Linked DNA regions of Oryctolagus cuniculus. The main gene of each other region encodes a partner of the protein of the gene in region 2 in a complex. Links are inferred from orthologs where the notes say so. Each region holds a gene or a part of one and is shown on either strand. Other genes may lie near its edges.

The links.
Region 1: the proteins of SYK (region 2) and TYROBP are in contact, whole or in part, in a crystal structure (PDB 7Q5W), measured with the Homo sapiens proteins. The link is inferred for Oryctolagus cuniculus from reciprocal best matches to the Homo sapiens genes SYK and TYROBP. Residues at the interface, in NP_001167638.1 of Homo sapiens: Arg22, Arg42, Asn46, His62, His63, Tyr64, Thr65, Ile76, Ala77, Gly78, Gly79, His92, Asp97, Gly98, Leu99, Arg175, Arg195, Arg197, Lys212, Leu214, His215, Tyr216, Arg217, Ile228, Pro229, Glu230, Gly231, Lys232, His243, Lys247; in NP_003323.1 of Homo sapiens: Pro90, Tyr91, Gln92, Glu93, Leu94, Gln95, Arg98, Ser99, Asp100, Val101, Tyr102, Ser103, Asp104, Leu105, Asn106.

What each region holds. Positions count from the first base shown.
Region 1 is NC_091449.1:19,524,566-19,529,958, reverse strand, and holds TYROBP (TYRO protein tyrosine kinase-binding protein), read left to right. Parts: upstream 1-1,762; 5' UTR 1,763-2,569; coding exon 2,570-2,777; intron 2,778-3,119; coding exon 3,120-3,146; intron 3,147-3,311; coding exon 3,312-3,446; intron 3,447-3,640; coding exon 3,641-3,684; intron 3,685-5,032; coding exon 5,033-5,098; 3' UTR 5,099-5,226; downstream 5,227-5,393. UniProt on the Homo sapiens protein: Adapter protein which non-covalently associates with activating receptors found on the surface of a variety of immune cells to mediate signaling and cell activation following ligand binding by the receptors.
Region 2 is NC_091432.1:139,342,024-139,346,648, reverse strand, and holds part of SYK (tyrosine-protein kinase SYK), read right to left. Parts: intron 4,217-4,625; coding exon 4,007-4,216; intron 1,934-4,006; coding exon 1,744-1,933; intron 1-1,743. UniProt on the Homo sapiens protein: Non-receptor tyrosine kinase which mediates signal transduction downstream of a variety of transmembrane receptors including classical immunoreceptors like the B-cell receptor (BCR).

The DNA.
Region 1 (5,393 bases), on a different chromosome or scaffold from region 2:
CTCATCCTCTATGACGTGTCTGCTCAAAAATTGGGGGGCTGTTTAAAAAGTTAGGGGTTTTTTTTAATTCTTTTTTTATTTTTTGACAGGCGGAGTTAGACAGGGAGAGACAGACAGAAAGAAAAGACAGGCGGAGTTAGACAGGGAGAGACAGAGAGACAGAAAGAAAGGTTTTCCTTCCGTTGGTTCACTCCCCAAATGGCCACTACGTTGGCGCTGCGCCAGTCCGAAGCCGGGAGCCACTTCCTGCTTCCTCCTGGTCTCCCATGCAGGTGCAGGGCCCAAGCACTTGGGCCATCCTCCACTGCACTCCCAGGCCACAGCAAAGAGCTGGACTGGAAGAGGAGCAACCGGGACAGAATCCGGTGCCCCGACCAGGACTAGAACCCAGGGTGCCGGCGCCGCTAGGTGGAGGATTAGCCTAGTGAGCCGCGGCACCGGCCTAATTCTTTTAATTCTTAATTTTCCTTTGATTTGAAATGCAGGAGCCAAAAGGAGATCTTCCATCTGTTGGCTCACTCCTCAAACGCCTGCAATGGCTGGGACTGGGCCAGGCCAAAGCCAGGAGCCTGGAGCTCCCTCTCTATCTCCATAGCAACTGGAGTCACCACACCGAGGTCCTCCAGGGAGATCGGGGGCTTCCCAAGCACCATCTTGACCACTCTGCCAAATGCCTGCCCCTGTCTGATTTTTTTTTTAAATTTTTTTGACAGGCAGAGTGGACAGTGAGAGAGAGAGAGAGAGAGAGAGAGAGAGAGAGAGAGGTCTTCCTTTTGCCGTTGGTTCATCCTCTAATGGCCGCCACAGCCAGCGCACTGCGGCCGGCCGGCGCACCGTGCTGATCTTTGCCTGGCAACTGTGGGGCATTTGGGCTGTGCAGCGACAGAAATGGCAGCCAGGGGAGCAGGGAGGGCAGCAGAGAGCCAACCCCGCGTCTGGGAAAGGCCTTCCCCAAGCCATGGCCCTGCGTCAGCAGACTGAGACACTGCAGATCCTGGGCGGAGGCCCCCAGCCCAGCCCCCTGGAGCAATGCCCTCCACGCCATCCTCTCCTTCACCGCCCGGCCCAGACACCAATCCGGCCTGCACGCCTCTGTGGTCTGCACAGCGGTACTGATTGCAAAAGGATTGCAACACCTCTGGTCCGCCACCACCCAGCCCGTTCCCTCGCATTGCTTTCCCTTCCCCATATCCCAGCTACTAAACGGGGCTCCAGTACCCCCACCCTCCCCCACCCTGGCCACATCTGTCCTGATTGGACGGTGTGCCCGATGTCCTGGCTGCTAGGTCGAGTATCTTCTGGGGACAGCTCTGGTCTGGTGGGAGATGGCAGCAGGGGACCCAGTGGCTGGTGCTGCGGGGTGGAGGGAGGGGTTTTATCCAGGTGAGCTCAGGGCTGGGTGCTCGTAGGACAGCAGCGATGACAAGGATGATGAAGATCATTTCTTGAGCACACGCCACTCACTGTTTTCTTACACTTCCCCACACACTCACCCTAAACCGGACCAGTGCAGGAGCCTAGGGCCCTCCTCCCGCCCCTGCTCCCCCTGCCCACAGCCAGAGGGACCCTGTGAACCCAGAGTTGTGGCAGCGCCAGACTTCCAGTCCCCTCCCCTCCCGCACCAGCCACCCAGCGTCTGTCTCATGACAGTCCAATTTCCCCTTTCCTGAGCGCAGCCCCGGGGAGAGGCTGCCATGACGTGTGGGTGGGGGAGGGGTCTTACTAGCTCATCCCCAGCACTCTAACCTCAGGTTCCTCCTTCCTCCACCCCAGTTTGGGTTCCTGCTGGGGGGCTCAAAGACCCTGCCTCCTCTCTCCCTCTGGCCTCACTTTCTGCCACTTCCTCACCCTGCAGGGAAGCCCCCCACCTGCCGAGCCTAGAGCCCCTGCTTCTGTCTCGGGGCTGTGTGTTTCTACACCATCTTTCTCCTCCTTGCTGTTGTCTTCTTGTTGTTGTCACTCATCCTTTATTTTTCTTTCTCCTTAAGAATCAAAACTCTGTCTTTGGGTCCTGGGTTCCATTTCCGCCTTGGCAAGCACAAATGGGCATGATAAGTGATTTAACACTTGGGATGGAGTGCCTGCATTAGGGCCACATGCAAATGGCTCCTTAAAAAATTTTATTTATTTGAAAGGCAGAGTTGGTGGGGGTAGGAAGAGAGGGAGAGAGAGAGAGAGAAAGATCTTCCATGCCCTGGCTCACTCCCCAAATGGCCACAACAGTCAGGGCTGGGCGAGGTGGAAGCCAGGAGCTTCTTCCGGGTCTCCCACGTGGATGGCAGGGCCATCCTCTGCTCCTTCCCCATGCGCGTTAGCAGGGAGCTGTGAACCAGTGCTCATATGGGAAGCCAGCGGTCACAGGTGCCATCTTTCCTAACAACCCAGAAAGGTGGAGCTCAGTGGCCCGAGCTCGTCCAGCCGTGGGGAGGCAGAGCTGGCTCCAGCCCTAGCCACTGACCCTCCTGTTGCCATGGCACCGACACCGAGCTGGGGATGCGGGTTGAGGATTGACACGGGCACCTGAGCTTGTCGTGTCCGGCACCGGGCTGTCTGGGCCCGATTCTTTCTGATGTTCTCTCTCTCTGTCCCTCCTCCTTCGCCACTGTCCCCTCCTCCTCTGCCACCGCCGGCCTCAGACTTCCTCCTTCGCTTGGTTGGACGCTACGCCTCATCCCGCTGGCCCTCGGACGGTGGTGTCCAGTCGTATGCTGGTGTCATGGGGGGCCTGGAAAGCTCCAGCAGGCTCCTGTTCCTGCCTCTCCTTCTGACCGTGGGGGGTGAGTTGGGGGCTTCTGCAGCTGTCTCCTGAGGATTGGGGGAAGGGGCAGGAAGCAGGGTGGAGCGAGTGAACCAAAGGGGGGGTTGGACTGGAGCAGGTTCTCAGCCCCCCCAAAGCCTGAGGGTCTTTGCTGAGCCGCAGTCCCCAAGATTCGGTTTCCTGTAGAAAGCAGGGGAGGAGACATCCGAGTTGTTGCAGCAAGACAAGGCCCTGTAGAGGTAAAACCCTTCCATGGCCCTGACGCCAGCCAGGCGCTGCTCCCCACCCCCACTCCCAGCCTCCAGACCTGCACTCCAGTCACAGCTCGCTGCCTCAGTTTACCTTCTTCTTCCCTCCTCAGGTCTCAGCCCTGTCCAGGCCCAGAGCGGTAGGTCTAGCCCTTACAATCCCTCTTCCTACCTCCCAAAGACTTCCCCCTCTCTGCCCCCTCCCCAATCTTCCAGGGCCTCCCTCTGCTGACGCCCACCCCCCAGTTCCCAACCCCACACTGACCTCCTCCCCACCCCTACCCCCGCCGTGTGCCGATTCTCAGAGTGCACCTGCTCCTCCCTGAGTGCGGGGGCGCTGGCGGGGATCGTGCTGGGGGACCTGGTGTTGACCCTGCTCATCGCCCTGGCTGTGTACTCGCTCGGCCGGCTGGTCCCTCGCGGCCGAGGGGCTGTGGACGGTGAGTGGGACAGGCAGGGGTGGCCTGGGGCGCTCTGAGCACTGGCCTGGTGGTGGTGGTGGTGTTCTTGGTGGGGCAGGCTAAGGGCCTGTTCACTGGCGTCAGAGGGGTGGTGATGGAGGCTGCAAGGTGAGGACAACAGAATGGTCCCAATTCACTGTCCTGCCCGTCTTTTGCACCCTGCGCCCCCGCAGTGACCCGGAAGCCGCGCATCACTGAGACCGAGTCACCTTATCAGGTAAGGAGCCAGGCCTCTTCCCCGAATCTCACTCCTGCCTAGCAGGTGTCTGCCCTGTGTACCCCACACGCCCTCCGGGGGACCCTTGAAGCCACTTTCTCCAAAGCTCCCCGTGCCTAGAAGGCCAATGGGGGCATCTGTCCAAAACCGCATTACCTGATCCACCCTGGCCTTGTGCTCAGCTGAACCCTCGCGGAGAGGACATCCAGCGAAGGCTTTGCCTTGGTCAGGCAAGCTCAGGCCTTTGGAGCGGGCAGGCTCGAAATCGTCCTGGAAAATCCCTGGCCCCAGGACACCCTGATGTCTGAGAGCCACTCTCAGGAGGTTGTCATGCAGCCTTTGTTTGGGAACTCCGGAGAGGGGAGCCCTCCGATCCGGGGACTGTGTGTGTGTATGTGTGTGTGTGTGTGGCGGGGGGGGGGGGGGGGGCGTGCTATGTCCCTTTAAGAAGCTGATGGAAACCAGAGACTTCAGAAAAGTCCACGCCAAGAATCACAGGTGCATATGATCTAGGGGCCGTGTCCATGTCCTTGAACCCCTTCTTAGAAACTGTGGTGCGGACAGAGGCAGGGGCCGCGCCTCCGAGCAACGTGCACACACAGACTGGTCTTCCTATGGGATTTCAGGTTTCAGGGGTTCTGTGTGAGGCCGCCCCTTGCCCCATAGACTCCGCCCCAAAAAACCCCACTTGTGACCCCGCTCTGTGGAGGCAGGTGTGTGGTCTCACGTGGCCTGCCTGGCAGCTCTGCCTCACTTGTGAATACAGCTTCCTCCTAAGAATCTCAAGTTTGGCTCGGTAAGAGCCGGCGGGCCTCGGTGGGCTGGGAGTGAACTCAGGCTGTTCAGTGTGCCAGATGTGGGACTCGGCAGCACAGCGCACCCCGCAGCTGGGGACACCGGCCAGAGTCAAATGAACAGACAGAAGTATGTTGGGACAAGTCACGAAGGAAGGAAAGCGAGCTGGTGAGACAGACTGGAGTGCAGGGGAGGGAACTAGAGACAAGGAAATTCACGAAGGAAGGAAAGGAGCTGGTGAGACAGTGACTGGAGTGCAGGGGAGGGAACTAGAGACAGGAAATTGAGAAACACTTCTCTGAGGATGTGACGTGAGCTGAGACTTGAAGCCGGGGAAGACTGAGGGAATAGCATGTGCAAAGGCCCCGGGGCCTGGGGAGAGGGGGAGGGGCATCCTGAATGGACTTGAATGCAGACCAGATCTCTGTCATGGCTATGATGCTGAAGCTGTGGGCCACTGGGAGAAGAGGGCCCGATTTTGTTTCGGGTTCATTAAGTGGGCCCGGTCCACTGATGGCTCCCAGTGTGTCCACTGATGGCCCCACCCCTTTAGGAGCTCCAGGGTCAGAGGTCAGATGTGTACAGCGACCTCAACACACAGAGGCAGTATTACAAATGAGCCCAAACCGCGACAGTCCACAATGGGACGCCTGGATCCAGTGCTTCCTGACGGCCACCCAGCACCCCAGCGTGCCCTCCCTGACACCTCTCCCCTCTGTTGCTGCCAAATAAACATGGAGCACAAAACTGCTGTGGTGTGATGGTGGGGGCCGGGGTGGGGGGAGGGGGTCACGCGGGGACCTGACCTGCGTGGGCCTCGCACCCCGACACAAGCTAAGCGGGAGGGCAGCTTTGGGAATCCTGAAATTCTTTGAGGAAGAATCAAACCAGAGGCATTTCAGTGGCTTTATTCC
Region 2 (4,625 bases):
CACGGAGATGCCCTGTTAGCAATGACCTTGTGTACATCTGTGTGCTGAGCAGTTGCCTCTGACAGCCCGAGTGTGGCGGCAACGCGGGTGACCGTCGGCAGGGTAGACAGACGGCACGTGCTGTGCAGCGACCAGGGGGCTGTCATTCAGCCTCAGAGAGGAAGGGGACCCTGACCCTGCTGTCCCACGTCAGAGTAACTGGGTTGGATTCCTGGCTCCATTTCCTGACTCCAGCATCCTGCTAATGGGCACCCTGGGGGGCAGCAGACAATGGTGCAAGTACTTGGGTCCCCGCCACTCATGTGGGAGACGCAGACTGAGTTCCAGCCCCTGGCTTCAGCCTGGCCCAGTTCCGGGCATTGTGGGCATCTGGGGGGTGAAGTAGCAGAGGAGAGTGCGTTCTCTCTCTCTCTCTGCCTCTGTCTCTCTTTCTCTCTCTGCATCTCAAATAAAGAGATTTCAAACAAATCTTTAAGCACTCCTTTTAAGATTTACACGCACACCTGTAAGATTCGGGCAGGATTGCTGGCACTGCTTGCAGCTTTTGGTCTTTGGCTCTCTCCTCTTTGGCCACATACAACTTTGCAGAGTACACGGGTGGCGGAGAGAGTCAAGCCCAAGAATCTACTTCATGGATGTTGCCCAAGAAACACCTGGGTGTTCCCAGCGATATTTAACTGCTGTGAATTTGTCTGTATTGTCAAGCCAATGCCAACTATTTGAATAAGACTTACATCATTTTAGAATGCCTTAAATTTTCTAATTTCCTAATTTAATACAGCCAGCGGGGGCTGGCGCTGTGGCACAGTGGGTTAATCCTCCGCCTGTGGTGCCAGCATCCCATATGGTGCTGGTTCTAGTCCTGGCTGCTCCACTTCCGATCCAGCTCTCTGCTATGGCCTGGGAAAGCAGTAGAAGATGGCCCAAGTCCTTGGGCCCCTGCACTCACGTGGGAGATCCAGAAGAAGCTCTTGGCTCTTGGCTTTGGCTCTGCTCAGCTCTGACCATTTCGGCCATTTGGGGAGTGAACCAGCAGATGGAAGACCTCTCTCTCTGTCTGTCTCTCTCTCTCTGACTCTCTCTCTCTCTCTCTCTCTCTCTGGCTCTGACTCTCAGAGAAATATATAATAATAAATTTTTTTAAAGCCAGTGGTAATAAAGAGATCAAAACCGTGCACGACAGAATGCCTCACTTAGGATTTGGGATTTGGGGAGGGGACACTGTTGAGTGCTGTCACCTCTTGCAAGGAAAAGCAGAGTTACAGAGAGAGAGAGAGACGAAGGGAGATATAGAAGGAGAGATCTTCCATTCACTGGCTCACAATCCAAGTGGCACCGACAGCCTAGACTGGGCTGGGCTGAACCCAGGAGCCAGGAGCGTCTCCCTGGTCTCCCACGTGAGTGCAGGGTCCAAGCACTTAGACCAGCCTCCACTGCTTTCCCAGGTGCATCAGCAGGGAACTAGAATGAAAGGGGAGCAGCCAGGACTTGACCTGGTGCCCAGATAGGATGCCAGCATCCCGGGCATCAGTTTAACCCACTGTGCCACAACACCGCCCACCCCCCCAGCATGCCTGTATTTTTTAAACAACAGAATCAAAGCTTAATAAAAATATTTTCTATACTTTTTGTAACCTGCTGAAATTACTTCTTGAAAGCTTTCCATGAGAAGATAAAGAAACACACATTTGTCTTTGAGTTTCCACAAGTTGCCGCTCTGAGCATCGGCGGCCTTGTCCCTACCTTGTAGTAGTTCTCGTCTGCACGCAGAGCTTTGGAAAGTCCAAAGTCGCTGATCTTGGCGTAATGTTGAGTGACCAGCAGTACATTCCTTGCAGCCAGATCTCTGTGCACAAAATTGCACTCTTCCAAGTATTTCATCCCCATGGAAACCTGATGAACCAGCTCTATGATGTTCTTGTCCTTGACATGCCTGCGAGTCACAGGGGTACCATTAGCCACAGCGGAAGCGCCCACTTCAGAACAAGCAAACGGACAATGAATCCCCCCACCCCCGGGCTGTTCTTCAGTAACAACACTGGCGAGTAGCAACAGGTAATTTGTCAGTGTACAGCAGTGCAAGACTGGACACTGGCCTGCTGTTTAAAGGTTTGGTTGCCATGGCTTGCTTTGGATGACAAGCAGTGGAGCGGTCAGACCTGGCTCACAGATGGCCCAGTGTCAGTTGAAACCGTTGCTCCAATACCGGGCAGGTAACCAAACCAACCCGTCTCTGTTGTGTACCCATCTGGGAGAAGTAACAGCTCTCCGTGTCACAGAGACCGAGGGGACACTCCGGGTACAGCAGGTCTCTGGTGCAGAGAGCAGGCTGGGTTCTGGTGGCTGACTGTGCCCTACTCCAAGTGTTGGCGACAGGATCAGTCACTGTACCTTATACTCCCAGAGGGGCTCACTCTCGGGCACTTGGCGGTCCGCCAAGCCACACAGCTGGCTAACACTAATCCAAACATCCCAGATCTGAAACGTTTCAAACACTGAGATTTTTGAGCACATTCTAAGTGGAAAACTTGATAGTGGGAAACTGCTTCGGCCACAGAATTATTAAAAGTATTGTGGCAATGAATTTGGGCCATGTGTATGAAGTGTGTATGAAACACAAATGAAGTTCATGTTTAGACTGTGTCTCATTCTCAAGATATTTCATTATGTATATGCAAATATTCCTAAATCCAGAAAAAAAAATCCAAATTCATAAACATACCTGGTACCAAGTATTCTGGCTAGCAGATACTTAACCTGTATGAAACATAACCATTACCCCTGAGAAAATGTTTCTTGAAAAAAAATGTATTTTAGTGCCAGCATTGTGGTGTGGCAAGTTAAGCCACCACTTGCTAGCAGCTTTGGCCTGTGGATGTGAGCATTTGGGGAGTGAGCCAATAGATGGAAGATTTCTCTCTGTCTCTCTCCGCCTTTCAAATAAATAGACAAATCTTTGGGGGAAAAAAGTGTGTTCTGCCTAGGGAGGAGAGACTTTTTTTTCCTTGAGGCTGATTCTTTCATGGAATCAGTACACAGACCTTCAAAAAAGTTGATGGAAAAAACTGAATTAAAAGATAAATTTATTTTGATACAACAAAATTTGAAATTCACAAATAGTTTTCTCATAATGCATATTTCCCAGAAACTTTTAAAAAATATTTACTTATTTGAAAGGCAAAGTGACAGAGACAAACAGGCATACACACACACACACACACAGACATACAAAGAGAGAGAGAGTGCTTCCATCCACTGGTTCACTCCCCAAACGGTTGCAAGGGCCTGGGCTGGGCCATGCCAAAGCCAGAAGCCTGGAGCTCCAACTGAGTTTCCTTCTAGGGTGGCAGGGGCCCCAGCACCTGGACCATCGTCTACTGCTTTCCCAGGCCATTAGCAGGGAGCTGGGTTAGAAATGAGCAGCTGGGACTGGAATCAGCGCTTTGATATGCGATGCTGGCATTGCAAGCAGTGCCTCAAGCCACTGCACCACAATGCTGGCCCCATACATGTTTTCAAATATTATTTTCGTTTTTAAAATTTAGTCATTTGAAGAGAGAGAGAGACAGAGAGAGAGGGAGCAAGCGAGTGCCCCATTGGCTTGCCCATTCCCCCAAATATCCATAGTGGCCAGGGCTGCGCCCAGCTAAAGGTCTCCCATGTCGGTGGCAGGATCTCAGCCACTTTAGATACCACCACCTGCTGCCTTACGGGTGTACATTAGCCGCAAGCCGCGGTCAGGAGACCCCGACACTCTGCTGTGGGACGTCTTAGCCCGTAAAGGAAGAGAATGAGGATTCCGCTGCTGCATTGGAGCTTTCCCCGAGCGCCAAGAGTGAAAGAGCTGTGTCCAGAGACTCCTCTCGCGCCTCCCCTTCCCTGAGCGAGGACCAGCCTGGGCAGGCGTCCCGTGGAAGTGCCGTTGGCACACAGGTGGGAAGGTGGGTCCCCCCGTCCCCGGCCATCACAGCACAGCCTCTGTGCCTTCCGGGGAACCCAGTGATACCTGTTCTGTTGCAAGTACTTATTGAGAGGCCCGAGCTCCGCCATCTCCATCACCAGCATCCACGACTCGGCTTCGCAGATCCCGATCATGCGCACGATGTAGGGGTTGTCCAGCTGCTGCATGACGTTGGCTTCCGACAGCAGCTCGTCTTTCAGGGCCGGGTCGTTGGCCTCGTTCTTCAGTATTTTCACAGCCACCGTCTTCACCACCCTGCAAGAGAAATCGCAACATACAAAGCTTGCCAGGGGCCGGCGCTGTGGCGCAGTGGGTTAACGCCCTGGCCTGAGGCACCGGCATCCCATGTGGGCGCCGGTTTGAGTCCCGGCTGCTCCACTTCCGATCCAGCTCTCTGCTGTGGCCTGGGAAAGCAGTGGAGGATGGCCCAAGTCCTTGGGCCCCTGCACCCATAAGGGAGACCCGGAAGAAGCTCCCGGCTCCTGACTTCTGATTGGCGCAGCTCCGGCCCTTGCAGCCAACTGGGGAGTGAACCAGTGGATGGAAGACCTCTCTCTCTCTCTCTCTTTTTACCTTTCCTCTCTCTGTGTAACTCTGACTTTCAAATGAACAAGTAAATCTTTAAAAAAAAAAACACTTGGAAGACTGGCTCACTTCTACCTAC